2 linked regions of the Canis lupus familiaris genome follow. The protein of the gene in region 2 purifies or fractionates together with the protein of the main gene of each other region. This does not show direct contact. Links are inferred from orthologs where the notes say so. Each region holds a gene or a part of one and is shown on either strand. Other genes may lie near its edges. The genes, in order: KATNIP and MAK.

The links.
Region 1: the proteins of MAK (region 2) and KATNIP purify together in Homo sapiens (affinity purification with mass spectrometry; 3 studies listed by BioGRID and IntAct, with this or other methods). This does not show direct contact. The link is inferred for Canis lupus familiaris from reciprocal best matches to the Homo sapiens genes MAK and KATNIP.

What each region holds. Positions count from the first base shown.
Region 1 is NC_049227.1:19,125,243-19,134,310, forward strand, and holds part of KATNIP (katanin-interacting protein), read right to left. Parts: intron 6,066-9,068; coding exon 5,982-6,065; intron 5,345-5,981; coding exon 4,619-5,344; intron 3,815-4,618; coding exon 3,609-3,814; intron 1,418-3,608; coding exon 1,339-1,417; intron 1-1,338. UniProt on the Homo sapiens protein: May influence the stability of microtubules (MT), possibly through interaction with the MT-severing katanin complex.
Region 2 is NC_049256.1:11,805,294-11,814,361, forward strand, and holds part of MAK (serine/threonine-protein kinase MAK), read right to left. Parts: intron 9,049-9,068; coding exon 8,994-9,048; intron 8,294-8,993; coding exon 8,172-8,293; intron 5,967-8,171; coding exon 5,887-5,966; intron 3,108-5,886; coding exon 2,975-3,107; intron 1-2,974. UniProt on the Homo sapiens protein: Essential for the regulation of ciliary length and required for the long-term survival of photoreceptors. Phosphorylates FZR1 in a cell cycle-dependent manner. Plays a role in the transcriptional coactivation of AR.

The sequences.
Region 1 (9,068 bases), on a different chromosome or scaffold from region 2:
TGCCTGAGTGGGAGACAAAACCAAGCCCCAAACCAGGCTCTTGCCTGCCCTAGGCTGGCTCTAGAAATTCTCTGTTGTCTCAGACTAAGTGAGAGAAATTGAGAGAGTGTTCTGGAATGTGAGGAGCCATGAGGACTCCAAGTCAGGTATCTTCCCCTTCTAAGAGGGAATTTGTCTTTGGGAAGTGAGGGAGGCAGACACGGTTCTCGCTGGGCAGGTGGGCAGGCCTCTTGGGGAAGAAGTGGGTGGCAGCAAGGCCTCGAGAAAGGGGTGTTGAGGCTGCTGGGGGGTGGTGCCCGGGTCCCATGCCCACCCCTGGGACTGAAGGACTCACTCCTCCAGGGGAGGGGAGTGCCAACAGCCTCACAGTTGAGTCCTCCCACCCTTGCTTCCTTGGCCTTGCCTGTCCCCAGAGGCAGCCCGCATCCCGAAACTTGCAGATACAGACACATGGAGCCCTGACCCCTCACTCAACTCAGGACCGGTTCAAGGGGCCTTTGCAGCTCCAGGGCTCCCTCTGCCCATCCTGCTTGCTGCCCTCCCTCAACAGCTCGCCCCAGGGAACCCCAGCAAAGAGTGGCTGACAGAGTCTCCTGGACGGGGCAGGGGAGAGAGATCCATAAGCCAGGGCCTGGGGTCTGAAGATTCCCCAGGACGCACCACAGGTGCTGGCTGAGCATGTGTACTGAGCGGGGAGGGAGCAGCTGGAAGGGTAAGTGGGGAAAAGAAGAGGGAACAGACACAGTGAAACCCGGATGGGGTTTGCTCAGAGGCCACAGACATGGTGTTTTTAAAATATCATAAAATTAGCCACCCAACACTTAAACTTTTGGAGATTTCACATAAATATCCAAATCTCTGCCTTCTCAGAAGACCCAGCACCCTGGGCTAGTATTCCTGCTGCCCCCGCCCCACCTGGAATGGGGAAGATGCAGATTTTCTTTTATGTGTGCATCTGGGTTTGAAGGTCCCAAATCACTGGACTGACAGATGCCTCAGATCTCTTCCTGTCTGTTCTATGCTTTCTGGGCTCTAGCTGCAGCCTCCTGGGTCAGGGCTACAACTAACACATAAGATGTCTGCACTCAAAATACAAAAGTGCCCTTCTGGAAAGGCCTGCTGCAGAGAGGTGTCCCTCCTCCACAGTGATGTAGACCTGCCACGACCAGCGAGCCAAGTCTAGGCTGTGTTACCCCCCATCCATCCCGTGGCTTGGCATCTTTGTGCCATGTACAACCTGCCCAACTGTCCGAGGGTCCCTGACCCAGTAGCCATGGCTCTCCCTGGCCCCTGATGCTCCTTCTTCCCCTGGACACTGTCCCAAAAGAGGATACTCACAGATCCCGTGGTAGATGCCCGGCTCTGGCGTGGTTACTTCAGGGACAGGGGGACTGGGTGGCGGCTCTAGCCCCGGGATCTACACACGGGTTAGGGGAGAAGCAGAAGGAAAGTAGGTGACTTTTCTGATACCCGTACAGCTGGCTGGCCATGCTACTATCCACCCCGAGCCCCAGATACTCCCTTGTGTCTTGTCTTGCATTTTTTGCCACCATGGAAGCTGTGTGACTGATACCATGGGCAGACCCAGAAACCCCTGTGTGTCTGAGTCCTTGCCAGCACCTCTTGTTGGTAGGGGAGGAGTTTGAGGCCATTGGCTAAGGTGAGCAGATTTTCTGGAGCAGAGAAAGACCCAATAGATGTTTACCTAGGGAGCCTGAGGAAGGAGGCAGGGAGGAGGATCAGCAGAGAGGGATGGAGGGAGGGAAGAAGGGGGAAAAATTCAACCACAGAGAGTGGCCCTCAACCTGAGAGGCCTGGGAATCTGCCTTTTTAAAGCTCCTCCGGTGATTCCCAAGGGAAGCCAGGATAAAGAACCCCTGGTCTACAGGCAGGCAGAGGGGGCAGCCACACCCCACTTCCCAGATCTCATGGGTACATCTTGCTCATTAGATTGCTACACCGTAAGTTAGGGCAAAAGGGCCTTTACTGTTTTGCAGACAAGGAGGCTGAGATGCAAAAGGAGGGGAAGCTGGCTGTCCGGGTGTTAGAGTTTTTTGGTGGGGATGGTGTTTCAGTCCCAGGAATCATGGAACCCTCGGCCTGGCCCCTTAGACATAGCCTCTTGAGGCCCTTTCTTGCCTGGCTGTGGGGAAGAGGGTGAGGAAGATGGTCTTCCAGGAGCATGCACAACACCAAGCAGCCTCAGGCCACCAGGGGAGGCTACTGTCCTGGCCCATGTGCCTTCTCATGCCTTCCTGGGCTCCCTACCCTCCCAGAGCCTCCTGGGACTCTCCCTGGTGGATCTCTCCCTGGTGGCTGCACTGACCTGGACACCGAGACAGGGTGGGTAAGGCTCCAGCCCTGGCACTTTCTAGGGTTGTGACACTGGCCTCCCAGAACACGGGCTCCTTGTCTCTGAGACAGTGAGGATTCCTTCCTGTCCCTCCCAGGCTGGATGTGATCAGAGACCCTTAGAAGCATTTGGAAAACGCTGGGCACATGAAAGGAAGCCTTCAAGGTCAGCTCCCGACTGGAGACCCATGAATCACTTCTAGACCACAGACGTGCTGTGGCTCACAGAAGGTTTGAAAGCCTTCCCACTTAGTTGCCAACGGTTTTTAATTGGGACATTTTCCATAAAAGCCCAGATTTCTGGCTCCTCCCGGAAGAAATCAGGACAACTACCAACATGAACTAGCAGCTCCCGTCTGTCCTGAGAAGCAGGGGCCTTAGCACCCCCTAGTCTTGCATGACACTTCTGCCTACCCCTGCGGATTTTTACCCCCAGTGAACACAGTGGGGATCTGCACACCACAGCCTCACGACCTTGCCGGGCCCTGCCTTCGGTCCTCTGGTTTCCAGCTGTCCCCGCTCCCCTCCCCCACCCTCTGTAACCATCTCCTCTTTCTCCTAGGGCCTCAAGACCATCCCTGGGGGGCCTGGCTCTCCAGATTACTGGTTCTTCACTTAGACTGACCTTTCCCCTGAATGTCGTCTTTCAGTTCCTAAAAAATTGGTTTATGAGGTTAAAAACACAGACTTTGGAGTCACGCATTCAAGTTCTAGCCTGGTTACGCTCCTGCTGTGTGTCCTTGGTCAAGTCACTTAACGGGTCTGAGCCCTGATTTCTCAAATGGGGATACTGGTGATCCCTACTTGCAAGGGTGACACGGTGCTCTATCACCGAATCGCCATACGTGTGCGGAAAATGATGGTGAGGTGATCATTATTTTAATTCTAAGGCTGCCTATTAAAAGCGTTCCTAGTCCTTTCCATCAGAAACAACAGTGAGCGATCAAACCGCAACCCAAAGCAAAAATTCCCCTGAGACTGCCAACCTCTAAATTACAGAGATGACGCAGAACTGATTTCTCCTAGCTTTGATTAAAATTTGAATACTTTCTTCACTTTGCTTAAAAAAAAATAAAAAAATAAAACATAATTAGAGAATGAAATATGACACAGAGGACCAAAAAATGAAGTAGAAAAATGGGAAATGTCAAAACAGTAGCACCAGCAGCTTAAAGGCCATCCATCTTCATCCCTCCTGTTCCACTCGGAGTCAGGAGGAGAAATGTCTCCGGGGGCCCCCTTCCCCCCAGTCCTACCCGGTCCTCAGCCCACGAGCCGGCCCGGGTGTAGGGCCTGTCCCCCCCATCGCTGTCGGCGGTGCTCGGCCTCCTGGGCGTCTCCTCGCTCTGCAGGCTGCAGGGGCTCGCCACATCCCCGTCAAAGGTCTCATCTGAGCAGAATATGGCCTCCAGAATGTCATCGTCCGTCGTGAACAAGATGGTGTCTCCAAAGTGCTCTGGGGCTGGATGGGATGCCAGGGAGAGAGGAAGAGTCAACTCACCCCGCCCGAATCACAATGGTTTGGAGAGCAGGGACCCAGACCCACCAACCTCTGTGCTAAAAACCCCATCCCCAACCACCACCAGTTCCTGATTTGTGTTAGGAAGCCTCCCTTATTATTATTCACACATTTGCAAATGGGATTCACATGCCCCAGGAACCACTTAGTCCTAATGAAGGGATCTAACCTAATGAGAATCGTGATCCGGCCTGAAATGAGAGATGCTTCTAAGGTGTGGGGGAGGCACCTTAGCAGATGCTGTTGGGGCCCCACCCAAGTGCCTGCTGATGCCTTTTGGGGAGCTGGAGGTTTGCCTGGTAGGGCATGGGAGTTACACCCCCAACCTTGGGGAGCCCTGCTGCTCTGCCTTAAGGCAGGACAGACCCTGCAAGTTATGCTCCAGAGCTCCGTTCGGGATCAGGCTGCGATTCGGCTTCCCCCTCGCCCTCGCCCTGCCTAGCGTCTCCCATTCTCATCCTGTCTCTCTCCTTGCACCACAGGCTCTCCTGGGAGCACCCGCAAATAAGTCGCTTGTAGAAGAATCCCCCCTTCTTCAAGGCAGACGCGGAGTAAGGACTGCACCCAGGGGAGGAGTTTAAATGAGGTCAGCTCTTGCGCCCCCCACGCTACAAAAAGCGAGGAGTGAGCCAGGCCCAGGAAGAGAGACCCATCTGTCACTGGCTAGCCAGGGCCTTTTGTCTTTCCTCAGAGCCTCAGCGGGTAGCAGGTAGTGGCTTCCAGAACATTCTTACAGACATACTGTACCTCCCGTCAGGGTCCCCGAGGCCTTGGCGATTTCTCCTTTAAAGATGCACTGTGCGTCTAGCAGCATGGTGATGTCCTTCACGCCACGGAAGGAATGTATCCGAGATTTATTGTAGTTCCATATTCGGATCAGGGCGACTTGGCAAGGGTGCACGAAGTCTATGGAGATGGAGTGGGGCTTGCCCAGTGTGAAGGGGGCCAGCCAGACATGCATGTCGTCCTGGGTCCTGTTCACCCCGTCGATGAGGTTGGTGACCACGCGGGGGTCCTTCCCGTAGGCAGGTAAAACATTGATGTCAGGGGGGTCCGCGCAAATGTTCGCGATTTGCACTGGCTCCCCCTCTGAACTGAATATTTCTATTCCGTTGAGGCCGACATAGTGCCGGTCCCCCCACGTGGACTTGATGTCGATGACCAGGCGCTGTCCGTAAGGCAAGACAGGGATTTCAAAGTCACTGCCGTCGTCGGGCTCTCCGGGGCTGTCCTCCGGGCCTCTCCTTGGCTCTGGCTTCTCCTCCTTGCCGGGGGGCAGCTGCTCGCCGTGCCGGCTGCCCTTCTGCTGCTGCAGGAACTCGTCCAGGATGTCCCCCTGCAGCTCCATGTTGGAGATGCGTCCCCGGTGGGAGCGGTCAAAGGCGCTGAGGGAGTCCCAGGACTCGTGCAGCGTGTGCTCCTGCTCGCTGCAGCACTGGGAGCGCAGCGGCGTCTTGGCGGACTGGGTGTTCTCTGGAAGAACAAAGGAGGGGTGGAGCCCCGTTAGCGGCAGGTGTGCGAGTGGGGACCCTTACAGATCGTCCCAACTGGGGAGCTCTCGGCTAGGTGGGTCGCCCTCGGGAGGGCATTCTAGAAATCAGGGGTGGGGGGGGGTGTTGCTCTTAGCTGTCTCAACGCCTAGAGGCCCTCCTGGCCTTTGACCAGGGTGGGACCAGGATGGGACTCTCCTGCCCTGCACAGGACACTCTGGGCCTCGGGTCACACGCCAACATTCAGCTTGGTAAACACTGATTATGGTTACCCGAGTCTCGATTCTGGTTGTTTTGCAAAAAATGCAAAATATTTTTCAGTGTACTTTGGATTTTCTAAGAATGTGGCCCACATGCAGATCAAGGGCAGACCTTCTGTTGTGTGAGAACCTTTGCAGAGAAGCCATCCTACACTTCAGAGCCTCCCAGGACGGGGTGGCCTGGCGACAGCGCCTGAGTCAGCAGCCAGAGGGGCTGCTCTGAGGCCGCCCTGTCACCTGACTCAGGATATTTTCAAAGAATGGGTGGAATGCTCGCTCGCACAAGAATGCTAGGTGGGGAGAAGCCAGCTGTACTCTTGCGGCCGCCGCAGACCCTGGTTATGGGCAGTGGGCACCTACGTGTAAACATGCTGCTTTCTGAGTGCGGAGTCCGGAGGACTTCTAGCTTCTTCAGCTCCCCATCTTCTGAGCTCCCCAGATGTACTATTTTTATAACCAAGAAAAAGTGCTATAAGAATTGCCAACAACACAGGTATACAGGTAAGGAGTTTACTCCTCTGTGTGGCTAGGCTGGCTTCGAGAAGGGAAGCCTGCGTCCCAGCATGTGCGGAGCGCGGGCCTGGCCCTCAGGGGGCCAGGTCTGAAGGCCGCACTCTCCTCCCTGTAGCACAGAAGAGCCCCGGCGTGCGCCCCCTGCAGCGGCCTGTCCTCACAGCCATGCTGTGGCTAAGTGCCATGGAAGGGTGTCATTCTGGAAAAACAGCAGCTGATGGACACTGACGTTCTGTTTTTCCTCTTTTCATATTGGACTGTGCCTTGCACTCCATTTTCTGCCTGTCTCCTAGGGGGCCTGGCTTCATCAATTATCCTCTCTCTCCAGAACCCTCTGTCACCCCTTCCCCACTGGCACCTTGCCCTCTGTCTGCCTGCAGACATGCATAAATCTCTCCTACTGGAAAGAAAAGGGAAGCTGGACCTGATCTCGTGGCTTCCTCCAAAGGCCGCCCTATGTTCTCCCTCCCTCGGCTGCAGCCCCTGCGCCCTCCCCACTCCCACCTTCCCTCAACCCTGCTATGGGGGGGGGGGGGGGCTCTGCAGAGTTACCTGTTTGGCGCACCTAAGACCCACCTGCCCTCCTCCTGATTTTCCTTTGGGGATGCCCCCACCATCAGACCATCCAGATTAGGCGAATGCTGCCAGCTGTCCTTCTGGGTGGGGAAAGGAGCTATGGAGAGAGAGCAGCTCTCTTTAAACTGGCGCCCCTAGGGGGCAGGATGTTGGACAGTGCCAGTGGCCACTTTGCTATGCTGTGAGTGGCGGGGGTGGGGTGGGGTGGGGTGGAGGGGTGGGGATCCTGGCTGATAACGAAGCCAACACAGGGAACGTGAGCGGAGATGGAGAGAGTCCCGATGACGTCATTTGAGCCCCTAGATTTAGCCATGCCTGAAGCCAGAGCCCCGGTGGCCTCCGTAAGAGTCCTGAAATTCCCACAACCCTCCACTGAGCTGACTTTCTGCAAACCAGATACAGAATCATGATGACTTCCAGGTGGAGTCTTCCACTTGACAGTCCCTCAGGGCTGGCTCAGGGCTTGGGAGCGTTTGTGCTTCCTGTCTCTCCACTGCTTCTGTTGCCAGCCTCTCCACCCCCTAGCCCTACCCCGGGCTTCTGCCCAGCCCTGTCGGGTCCCCTCTCAACACTGCCCTCCCTTTCTGAGCTCACCCAGCCAGCTTCTAGTTGCCAGGCAGGCGCTGCTCAATTTTCTATGGCAAGTTCTGGCTTTTCTTCCTCAGCCACCACTTTCTGGGCCCAGCGACCCCCCACCCCCACCCCGAAGGTCCAGAGGTGTCCACTCTGTCACTTCAAGCTCCCTGTGCCTGAGAGGGAATCTGCCACTAATTCCTCCAATTGGCATTGTCTCCCCTAGCTGGGAATGACCAGGGCCCTGGGTGAGGCCCTCCAGCTTCACTAACCTCCCTAAAGATCAGCTCCGCCGTGTGGGCCTTTCTATTCCACAGACAAAACCTCTTCCTGCCCATCCTGTGGTGCCCTCTGCCCTGCTGGCCCTCCTTGTCCCCATCCTCCTCGGGGAGGACTTCTTTGCCCTGCTCCCTAGACTGTCCCAATCAATGCCTAGCATAGAACGTGGCGCACAGGAGTGCTCAGTGCGTGCTTGTCAGCCCAGGGACAGACGGCTGGCATCACCATTACACAACCTGTGGGTTTGGGCCCAGGAGCCCAGGGACTCCCCCCTCCACCTGTCAGCTCTGTATACCTGTCCTCCCCTCTCCCCTCCTTCTCATCTGCCATGAATAAAAAGACCCCAGGAGTTGCTTCCTCTCCTCCAGGTGTGAGGCTTAACATCTGGCAGAAAGAACTTCCCAGATGAATCGTCATGACATCAGTTTATTGGGATTTGATTTCCATCAACTGCAATGAATGGCCTGGGTTGGTCTGTAAGTGAGCCGAGGACAGCAAACAGACGTCATGTGTCAGGGACTTGGCCTGGGTTGGCAAGAAAGGCAGGACTTTGCTCTCGCTCTGCACCTGCTTTCGGATTTATTCTCCGAGATGTACGCTCTGGGTTTTGAAAACAGAGAGGTGCAGGGCTTGCTCCTGGATCTCTGGGCTGTGACAGCAGGCTGAGGGCACTGTCTGCAGGAGAACACATCACTCACTAGTCCCCGGGAGTCAGGAGGTGGGGGCGGCAAGGATCTGAGCTTTATCTTTGTCAATATTCCTACCCATGGCTTGGAATGGACACCAGAAAGCTGCTGCTTTAATCTGCACCCAACACAGTCTGGGGGGTGGGGGGGTGGGGACCATCAGCATAAGATGACAGTATGGAAGACTTTAAAACTACCCCTTGGCGGGGGCAAACTGTGAAGTTCAAAACCCAAGCTTATAAAAATCAAGAGCACCACGGTGTGGTATGTGCTAACCGTTACTAAAAGGGGGAACGAGAAGGAATGCAGTGAGACACAACAGAGCCATGTGAGTTCAAGGTGACCAGCCCTCCAGCCGCAGCTGATTGGACAAGGGGTGGACACCTGACCCACGTCGGCCAATCAGCGTCTCCCCTGAGACTTTGGGCATCAGAGCCGGGCAGCTGTCACTCTTGGGCTGCGGGCCTTTCCTGCCCTATGCACAGAGCAGAGAAAGGAAGAGTGAGGAACAGTGGCAGAGGCAGGGCCCAGCAGCCCTGGGGAGTCAGGGAGAAGTGTCCTGGGCACCCCCTGGCTTTCTGCTTCCTCTTTCCAATCTCAGCTGATGGGTGGTCACACTTCCTGCCTCTGGAGGTCTTGTGCTCAAACTGGGCAGGTGCGATTTTTTTCACCTCTAGCTCATGGACCCCCACTATTGCCGACACTTGCAAAATGCAGATGACATTACAATGAGATGCTCTGTTGGACAAAAGGATTTCGGGCTCTCTCTTTCTGTGACAACAATGGCTCTGGCGCCAGGGAAGAACCCAGGCGGCCATTC
Region 2 (9,068 bases):
TGTATTAATTTTACAAAGCATTATATTCATGATATATTTATATGAAGGATAGAAAACAAAAGATTAACAAAGAAGATCCCTAAGCAGTGGGGTTTTATTATTATTATTATTCATCAGTTTCAAAGTGCTGATTCCTTCAGTGGACTATGTTCCCCCAACTGACTGTATCTTTAATGGAGAAAAATATCCTATTAGAGCAAAGGTACCTGGTGGAAAATATTCTCAATTCTAACTTTTTTTTCACATTTAAATGTATAGATTTTTCAGCCCAAATATTTGTCTTTTTGCTTCTATTCTGAGTACCTTTCTTTGACAGATTTATTGAGATGTAATTTGAATAAAATTCAACTTATCCATTTAAAAGTGTATGACTCCAGGGCTTTAAGTGGAGTGTGTAATCCACTGTCACAATCAATTTTGAGCATTTTCACTGCCCCAAAGGAAACCTCACACCTCCCCAATACCCCTGTATCCCCAGCACTGGTCAACATTCTGTCTCTATATATTTGCCTATTGTGTGTACTTCATACCAGTGAACAATACACCATCCAGTCCTTGTGGACTGCCTTCTTTCCTTCAACATGTTTTCAAAGTTCATCCATCCATATTGTAGCATGTATCATACTTCATTCTTTTTACTGCTGAATACTGTCTTGCTGTATGGCTCTAGCACATACTATTTCTCCATTCATCAGTGGACGGGCATTTGGGTTGTTTCCAATTTGGGGCTGTTCTAAGTAATATTGTTCTGAACATTCATATGTAAATTTTTGTGTGGATGTGTGTTTTCCTTTCTCTGGGGTATATAGATCAAGGTGTGGAATTGCCGGATCCCATGGTAACTATATGTTTAACCACTGAGGAACTGTTATTTTGCACCATTTTACATTCACACCAATGACGTATGATGGATTCAGTTTCTCCGTGGCTTTGTCAATAGTCATTACTATGTTTTGATATTTTTACTAGATGAAATTGTTTTGAATGTCTTGCTAAGTTTAGATGGTAAAAACGAGTCTTCTCAATTTCATTCCATTTCAGTATAGAATCTAAATTTACCCAGTTGAAAATAGATACTCAATGGAACTGTGCTTCCCCTCAAAAGCTACACAGTATTCCCTTTCTCTGTTAGTGCTGACATCATCCTTCCAGTTACTCAAGAAACAAAACAAAACAAAACCCCCTAGAATCTTTGGCTTCTTATTTTATACCCTACATCTGATTCATCAGGAAATCATGGTTGCTCTACTTTAAAAATAGCACCTCCATGGCCAGCAGATCCAAGTCACTGTCATTTCCTGCCAGAATTACTGTAACAGCCTCCTACCTGGTCTCCCTGCTTCTTTCCTTGCTCTTCTAAAATCTATTTTTAATATAGCCTGGAGAGTAATACTTATAAGACATGTCAGATCACATGGCACCTCTTCTCAGCATCCTCCAGGGGGCTCCCCAGTTCACTCAGATTAACAAACCACCACAGTGCTACTATGATCTATGAAGACCTCTAAGATCTTGCTCTCTGTCAGTTCTCCACCCCATTTCCTAATACAGCCCTCCTTACTCATTCTGCTCTTTGCTGAATTCACATGTGGCTTTCCTGTTTCAAGGCCTCTACACTTAGCATTTTCTCTGCCTGAAAACTCCTTCTTGCCTTGGCATCTCCTTCTCAGGGAGACCCTCTATTTAAAATAACAACAGGCCTTTTCCTGGCTCTTTCCATATTTTATTCTTCTCCATAATAATAATCTATCACCACCTGATATACAATTATTCTTGTTTTTGTTGAAATGTAATACACATACAGAAAAATGCACATATTAGTAAGAGAACACCTTGATGAATTTTCACATAGAGAATACACCCATTGACCCAGCACCAAGATCAAGAAACTGGGTGTTATCAGCATTCCAGGTGGCCCCCCTCCTGCAGTCATGCAATCACTACTCAAGGAACTGCTACCCTGACTTCTACCAGCATAGATTAGTTTTCTCTATTTTTGCACTTTGTATAAATGGAATCATACCTTATGTACTTTTTTTTCCTGTTTGGCCTCTTGTATGTAGTTGTAAACTTATGTTCTCATTGTTGTAAAGCATCCCACTGGGTGAATATATTATGCTGCATGTATTGGACATTTGGGTAGTTGCAGTTTGGGACTATTACATGTCTTTTTTTTTTTTTTTAAAGATTTTGTGTATTTATTCATGAGAGACACAGAGAGAGAGAGGCAGAGACACAGGCAGAGGGAGAAGCAGGCTCCACGCAGGGAGCCCGATGCGGGACTTGATCATAGCACTCCGGGATCACGCACCCTGAGCCAAGGGCAGACACTCGACCACTGAACCACCCACGTGTCCCATGAGACTATTACATGTCTTTTGATAAACATCTGTATGTCTTTCTGTTGGTAACTATGTTTTTAACTGGTTTATTTGTATACTGATGTCAGGTCAGTGGCCTGAGACAGTGTTTTTCTGTTTCGTTCATCTCACTGTTCCCCATGCCTGAAATAGTACCTAGCACATAGTATGTTCCACAAATGTTTGTTGAATGAATGAGTGAATGAATGAAATCTCTTTTCTTTCAGAATAGTCATGACCCAATCCTCTCTCTACAGAAAGCAAAATTCAGTTCTATAGTTTTTTTTTTGTTTTTTAAATTTTTGAAAAATATTTTATTTGAAAGACAAAGATAGTGACAAAAATAGTGAGAGAGAGTATGAACAGGGAGAAGGAGAAGCAGGCTCCCTGCTTCTCCATGAGCAGGAAGTCTGATGTGGGGCTCAATCCCAGGATCCTGGGATCATGACCTGAGCCCAAGGCAGAACCTTAACCGACTGAGCCACCCAGGTGCCCCTAGATTTTGTTTTAAATACTCAATATGGAACCTCTAGAAAGCTACGTAATGATCCCCTACTGTAAAATTTCAGCATAGACCTACCTATATCTCTAGGAAGTTGTATAAAACTACTCACCATCTGGTAGATACATAATCAGTATATGGTGGCTGTGATCTTAATTCTCTTGCAAGTCCAAAATCAGCAATTTTCACAAGTTCTGGCCCCATACAAAGCAAGTTCTCTGGTTTCATATCCCTATGAAAAAAACCTTGGTAACAGAGAGGAAGAATAATTGATCATTATGTTTGAATATATTTGACTTCTAAACAAAATATAACTGAGACTCTCTGTTGTAATTAAGAATGTGAACTTAGGAGAAAAAAAGAAACCATATTTATTATCTAAAAAGTGATGGACGTGGGACTCTGCTTTCAAAATAATTTGGTAAGAAAGTTCACAGAGTATATGAAGTCATTAAAAATACCCATTTAACACATATTTATATTTGTGAATCCAGTAAGTTCAAGCAATGGGCTAGATATTGCCACTTTATGATTATCTCCATTCATTTGCACAACAGCTTTGAGGAGGTATTATGGTCACTATTGTGTAGTAAAGGAGGAGGTAGAGGCCCAGAGAGGAGGAGGCTAATTAAAGCCTGAAGAAAGCTGCATAATCAAGCTTATGTCACTTCTTTGAAAAATCTATTAAACAAAATTGAGGGATGCCTGGGTGGCTCAGCGGTTTAGCATCTGCCTTTGACCTGGGACGTGATTCTGGACTCCTGGGATCGAGTCCCATATTGGATCCCTGCATAGAACCTGCTTCTCCTCAAAAAAAAAAAAAAAAAAAAAAAAAGAACCTGCTTATCCCTCTGCCTGTGTCTCTGCCTCTCTCTCTGTGTGTGTCTCTCATGAATAAATAAATTAAATCTTTTAAAAAAAAAACAAAAATGGAACTCCATGCATTTTAGCCAATTCTTTGACTTACCATTAGTTACAATTATTTTATTTAACAGCTTTCATTTACAAATATTTGTAATTATTTTATTAACAGCTCAGTTTTCCCCGGTAGCAGCTTTATGGTTACTTATCAATTCAATATGTAAAATAAGTGGTTACTGAAGCTAAAAGGCAGATCAATGAAAATGAGCCAGAAAACTCAGGAAGATGAAAGCCTTTATACATTTCTAAGGGAGATCTATAGCACCCTGGCTGTACACAGATGGGCTGTATTCTAATGACCTTGCGATTGGGAGAATCAAGAAGGGGCCTGGTCATCCATTGTAGGTGATCGTTGTGAGGGCCTGTAGCTTTCACCTTAAATTTTTTAAGTCAAAGTTTAAACTAAGCTTTTTGCTTCCTTCTAAGCCAGTGTGGGCTCTATGTTCGTGACATCTATAGCGGTTCTGTACTCAGTTTATCTGGCACTTCTTACTCAAAATAGTTATCTATTTTACAAACTTTCAAGGGAAATACACTGCACTTTCATAACATGAAGACAGGGATAGGAGCACATGTGGTGGTGAGTAAAGCGACATAATCCATAAAATCATAGAGAATAAAACCAGCATATTTGTACAGTTGAGGTTTTCCCCATTCTCACTACTATATATCGGTAACTTGGTACTATTTTAACTGAAATATTAATCTTGTTTTTTTGACAGCTACTATTTAAAAAATACTTACTCGAAGCATTACATCTGAGACGCTTATCCACTATAGCAAGAATAATGTAGCTTTTGTAAAAATGTCTATTGTCCTTGGAGTCTAGTGTCCCAAATCTCTGTGTCATCAGTTGTATAATCAACTGTACATTCATTATTCATGTTATTTACTTTTAGCAGCAATTTTTAACCCCAAGCTAAATTCTTCCTTCAATCACTTATGCTCTGAATTTGCTAGTAGTTCATATATATCCAAGGAATCTAAGTCAGTTTTATCCTTAAAAACTTAAAAATATCCTTAAAATAATCAATAAATCCTTAAAAATATCAATAAATCGCAAAGCTATTTCCAAAAATCAAATAAGTCATAATGCTTTTGATTTTTCCACACCACAGTTTTTCTACTGGCATAAGTTAATGCAGGCAAATATCATGAGTTACCATACTGGCCAGTATTTAAAAACAGGTTGAAGATTGGAAATCCATTATCAACAAATAAGATAGCATATATCCTTTGTTTCCAAATAATTAAAAAATGACTGACTTTTAGTAATGGATTGCAGTATATTATCACAGGCTTTCGACTTTTAAAGGACAAAAAAGTGGGATTCGGGAATGTTCTGACAATGCTTACATGGAATAAATAAATTATTTCCTGTAGCAGTTAAAGGGGAAAAGAAAAAATATAAAATATGAGATAAAACAGGAAAGCACGCTAATGATGGTGATTTTCTAATGCTTCTGGTCATAACGCAGCAATGGTCTAGCACAACCTCTTTCAATTTAGTATCTAAACATCTAGTGATTCTAAACAAACATTTGATAAAAATTTTCATAATAAGCATGTTAACTTTCTGGACTAATTGGTTAGATAAACATAAAAAGCTATAAATGAAGATCACATAAATAAGAAATGTATAAAAATAGGAACAATCACTTTATTTAATTTTACTCAAAGAACAGAAACAACCAAATGTAAATACTAAGAAAACTATAAAATACCATAGCACTGGTGCTTTAAACTATTTAAATGTTAACAAGTGGTCAGATGATCATTCCAATCTTTTCTTAGGGCATTTTTGTTTGCTTTTTTTCATTTCCTTGGTAAAACTGGAGATGAGGTTGTAGGGACGGGTTTATGCTGAGAGTAAATTATCAAATTTACAAATTCTGCTACGGAGGAAGATAGTTGTAGATTACAGCAATTCTATTTTATAAAGAATTATAGAAATTCTAAGTTTTTAAGATAAAAATGTCAGTGTGTATAGCCACATACTGCAAATTTGTAGTTATTCAATATAACATTATTTAACAGCTTAAAATTCCTGGGCATGACCTTGACAGTAATATAAAGATGGAGGGAGATGAAATTTAAACCTACCGTGTTTATGGATAAATGCCAGCCCTTGCAATATTTGATACATAATATTTCTGATGACTGACTCAGGGAACAGCTTGTTTCTGTAAAGACATGAACAAATAAACCTTCATGTAATTCTATTAACCAACCAACCAAAACAAGAAGGCAGATGTTCCTCCTCCCCTGGAGCCCCTGTTGGCTTCAAGAGAGTGGTTAAAGGTGTGATTTATAACTTTATAGTTGTTACAGGTTATACATCTAAAACGTGACAATTAGAATTTTTGTTTGTTTTGATGTTTGGTAAAAACTCTCAAATCCAATAATGAATGTACTATACAAATATTCAACAGCTGAATTTTAAACTGTCCTGAGAGGAGCAAAGTAAATTGGAAAACTGATAACCAACAGATAAGTCAAGTGTGCAAATCTGTATTATGTAGGCTTTAAGATTTTAGGGGCATAACTGCTTCAGTTCTATATTGTCTACTGGTACCTTCCACTGGAAATACAGTAAGAGTCACAAATGAGAAACCCTTACGTATTTAAATTTTTTCTAGTAGCCAAATTAACAAAGCAGATAAAACAGGTGAAATTAGTTTTAACAATATATTTTACTTAATATATACCAGATATTTCAACATGTGATCAAAAATATACAATATAAAAATTAATATATATCATTTAAGATTGCCTATCACCTGATTATGATTTTTTAATATTCTAATCTAGTTCTAATGCATTTATATGCATAGCTTTTATATTAGGTATCAATGTTACATAATTACAATTTTGATTTCTGTTTTTTATCCACTCATGGGAATTTTCATAATCTTTATAATTATCACTTTTAATGGCTACAAAATAATCCCATCAATATTACACACTTCAATTACCAATCTATTCTCCCATTGATAGTTATTTCTTTTAAGTAGTAGAGATAAGTGAAGCATGGTATAGTCATTTAACAGAACATATTAACTGTTAAGGTTATATATCAGCATAACAAAATGATTGTAAATGAATCAATTAAATAAAAAAATGATCACCACTAAAATTGCAATTATGTAAAAAACCAGCATGCCTGTATCCCAGGGGCTAGAAAGAACTCTAGAAAAATAAACACTGATTTGAGGCACAGATATTTTCCTTACTTTTATTTTAACTGCTATGAATGTTGTAATGATACCAGCCTATGGAACCTAACAGGCATTTACTAAGTATTTTTTTTTGAAAGAAGAAAAATATGACAAAAGAAAAATTCACTCACCATCCCTAAGGATTACCTCGAGTGTGTTTATGTGTATGTATGAAAGGAATATAGAGAGAGCAGTCATCATTCCACTGGGAAATATATTTCTAAAGTATCTTAGCATCTTTTGTTGAACAAACCTGGCTTTAAAAGCAGGTAAAATGGACAGTAGTCTCCCACGTGTGACTGATAGCTACCACCGAAATACTAACGTCCCCAAATTCATGGCAGATGACTAAAGCTCTCCCGCTTTAGAGATTCTGTTCATGGGTTTAAAAATGAAAATGAGAATTTGTTTGGCACTGGTAGTAACATTGTTTTATCATTCACTTAAACATTCATTTTTTTTAAAAAAGATTTTATTTATTTTTTCATGAGAGACACAGAGAGAGGGGCAGAGACATAGGCAGAGGGAGAAGCAGAACTCGATCCCAGGACCCAGGGATCACAACCTGAGCAGAAGGCAGACACTTCAACCACTGAGCCACTCAGGTGTCCCCCACTTAAACATTCTAATAAGTGAACTTATTAGATCCCTTCATGAAAACTGCCTCATTTCTTCCTCCCTCCTTTCATTAACCTTCACAAAATGCTTGTGAGAGCAATAAAAGTAATCTCAATTTTGTCCAGGGCCAGCTTTATTAGTATTAAAAGTATAGAAAGATTTTGGGGACACTTGGGTGGCTCAGCCGTTTAGGTGTCTGAGTCTTGATCTCAGCTCAGGTCTTGATCTCAGGGTCGTGAGTTCAAGCCCCATGTTGGGCTCTATGCTGGGTGTGGAGCCTTCTTAAAAAACAAGCCACACAATAAGCCAAAATATAGATAGATTTTGTTTCAGAAAGTATAGATAGATAGATAGTGTGTATGTTTACATCAGAAAAATGGTGACTATGTCAAGGCTGGTTCTTCAAGTTTATAAAGGTAACAGCTAATTAATTTAGATCCTCCTCTTGGAGTGATAAATCTGTACACTGTAAAGTGTGACATATGAAGGGATTCAACAAACTCATAGAAGAGATAACAGAGAAAACATCATTTTTATAAAATAAAGACATACCTGTCTTTCATTAATTGATAGAGGTTTTCTTTCATATATTCAAATATAAAATAGAGATGGTCATTTTCTCGGATAACTTCTTTTAGTTTAATCACATTGGCATGATTGAGTTTCTTCAGAGACTGTAACACAGCAAATAAGCATTAGAATTCTTAAAGTTATAGAAGTTGTCAAAATCTCATCAATCTCTATGATAATTACCTTACGTTATCTTCCATTTCTTCTGAATTCATGAAGTTTTAATGTTTTTATATAATATCTTATATAAAATTTGAAGTTTTTATATAATATTTTACATGACTAAGAACATCTTAGAACACCAATCTAAAGTAAGTGGTTTTAAGTAATGAATGAGGTACAAAAATAAACCAAGTCAATAATACCTACCAAACATTTCAATCTGTCACATTTTTTTCTCAGTCTATTCAATAGGCCTAAGTTTTTTCTGACTTAACAATGTGAAATTCCATACATAAAAATGTATCCAAGTCATATAGCATAAAATAGAAAGAAATGGTATGTAGTAATTAAAAGTTGTCTTTCCTTTGATGACATGAATGAAAATGCTCTTTTAAAAGTGAGAGTATATGTTCAAATATGAGGGTATAGTGGTTTTTTTCTGTCCTTCACTGACATTCAGATAACAAATGAGAAATTACTTTACTTAGGAAGATAAAGAAAAAAAAACAAAAGAAATACAGTTATTTTTGGACTGTTTCCCACAAAGAACAGAACAATCCCTTTAGCTACCGTCCTCAGAAACGAGACAGGGTAAGGCAGAGGGAAGGCCTCTTTGGGTTCTTTTCATCAGCAGGATTTTACCTTAACTTCTCTCAAATTCATACATTCATCCCAAGAATAGAACTTTCTCTTCATTCTGAAATCAAACAAGAAAAC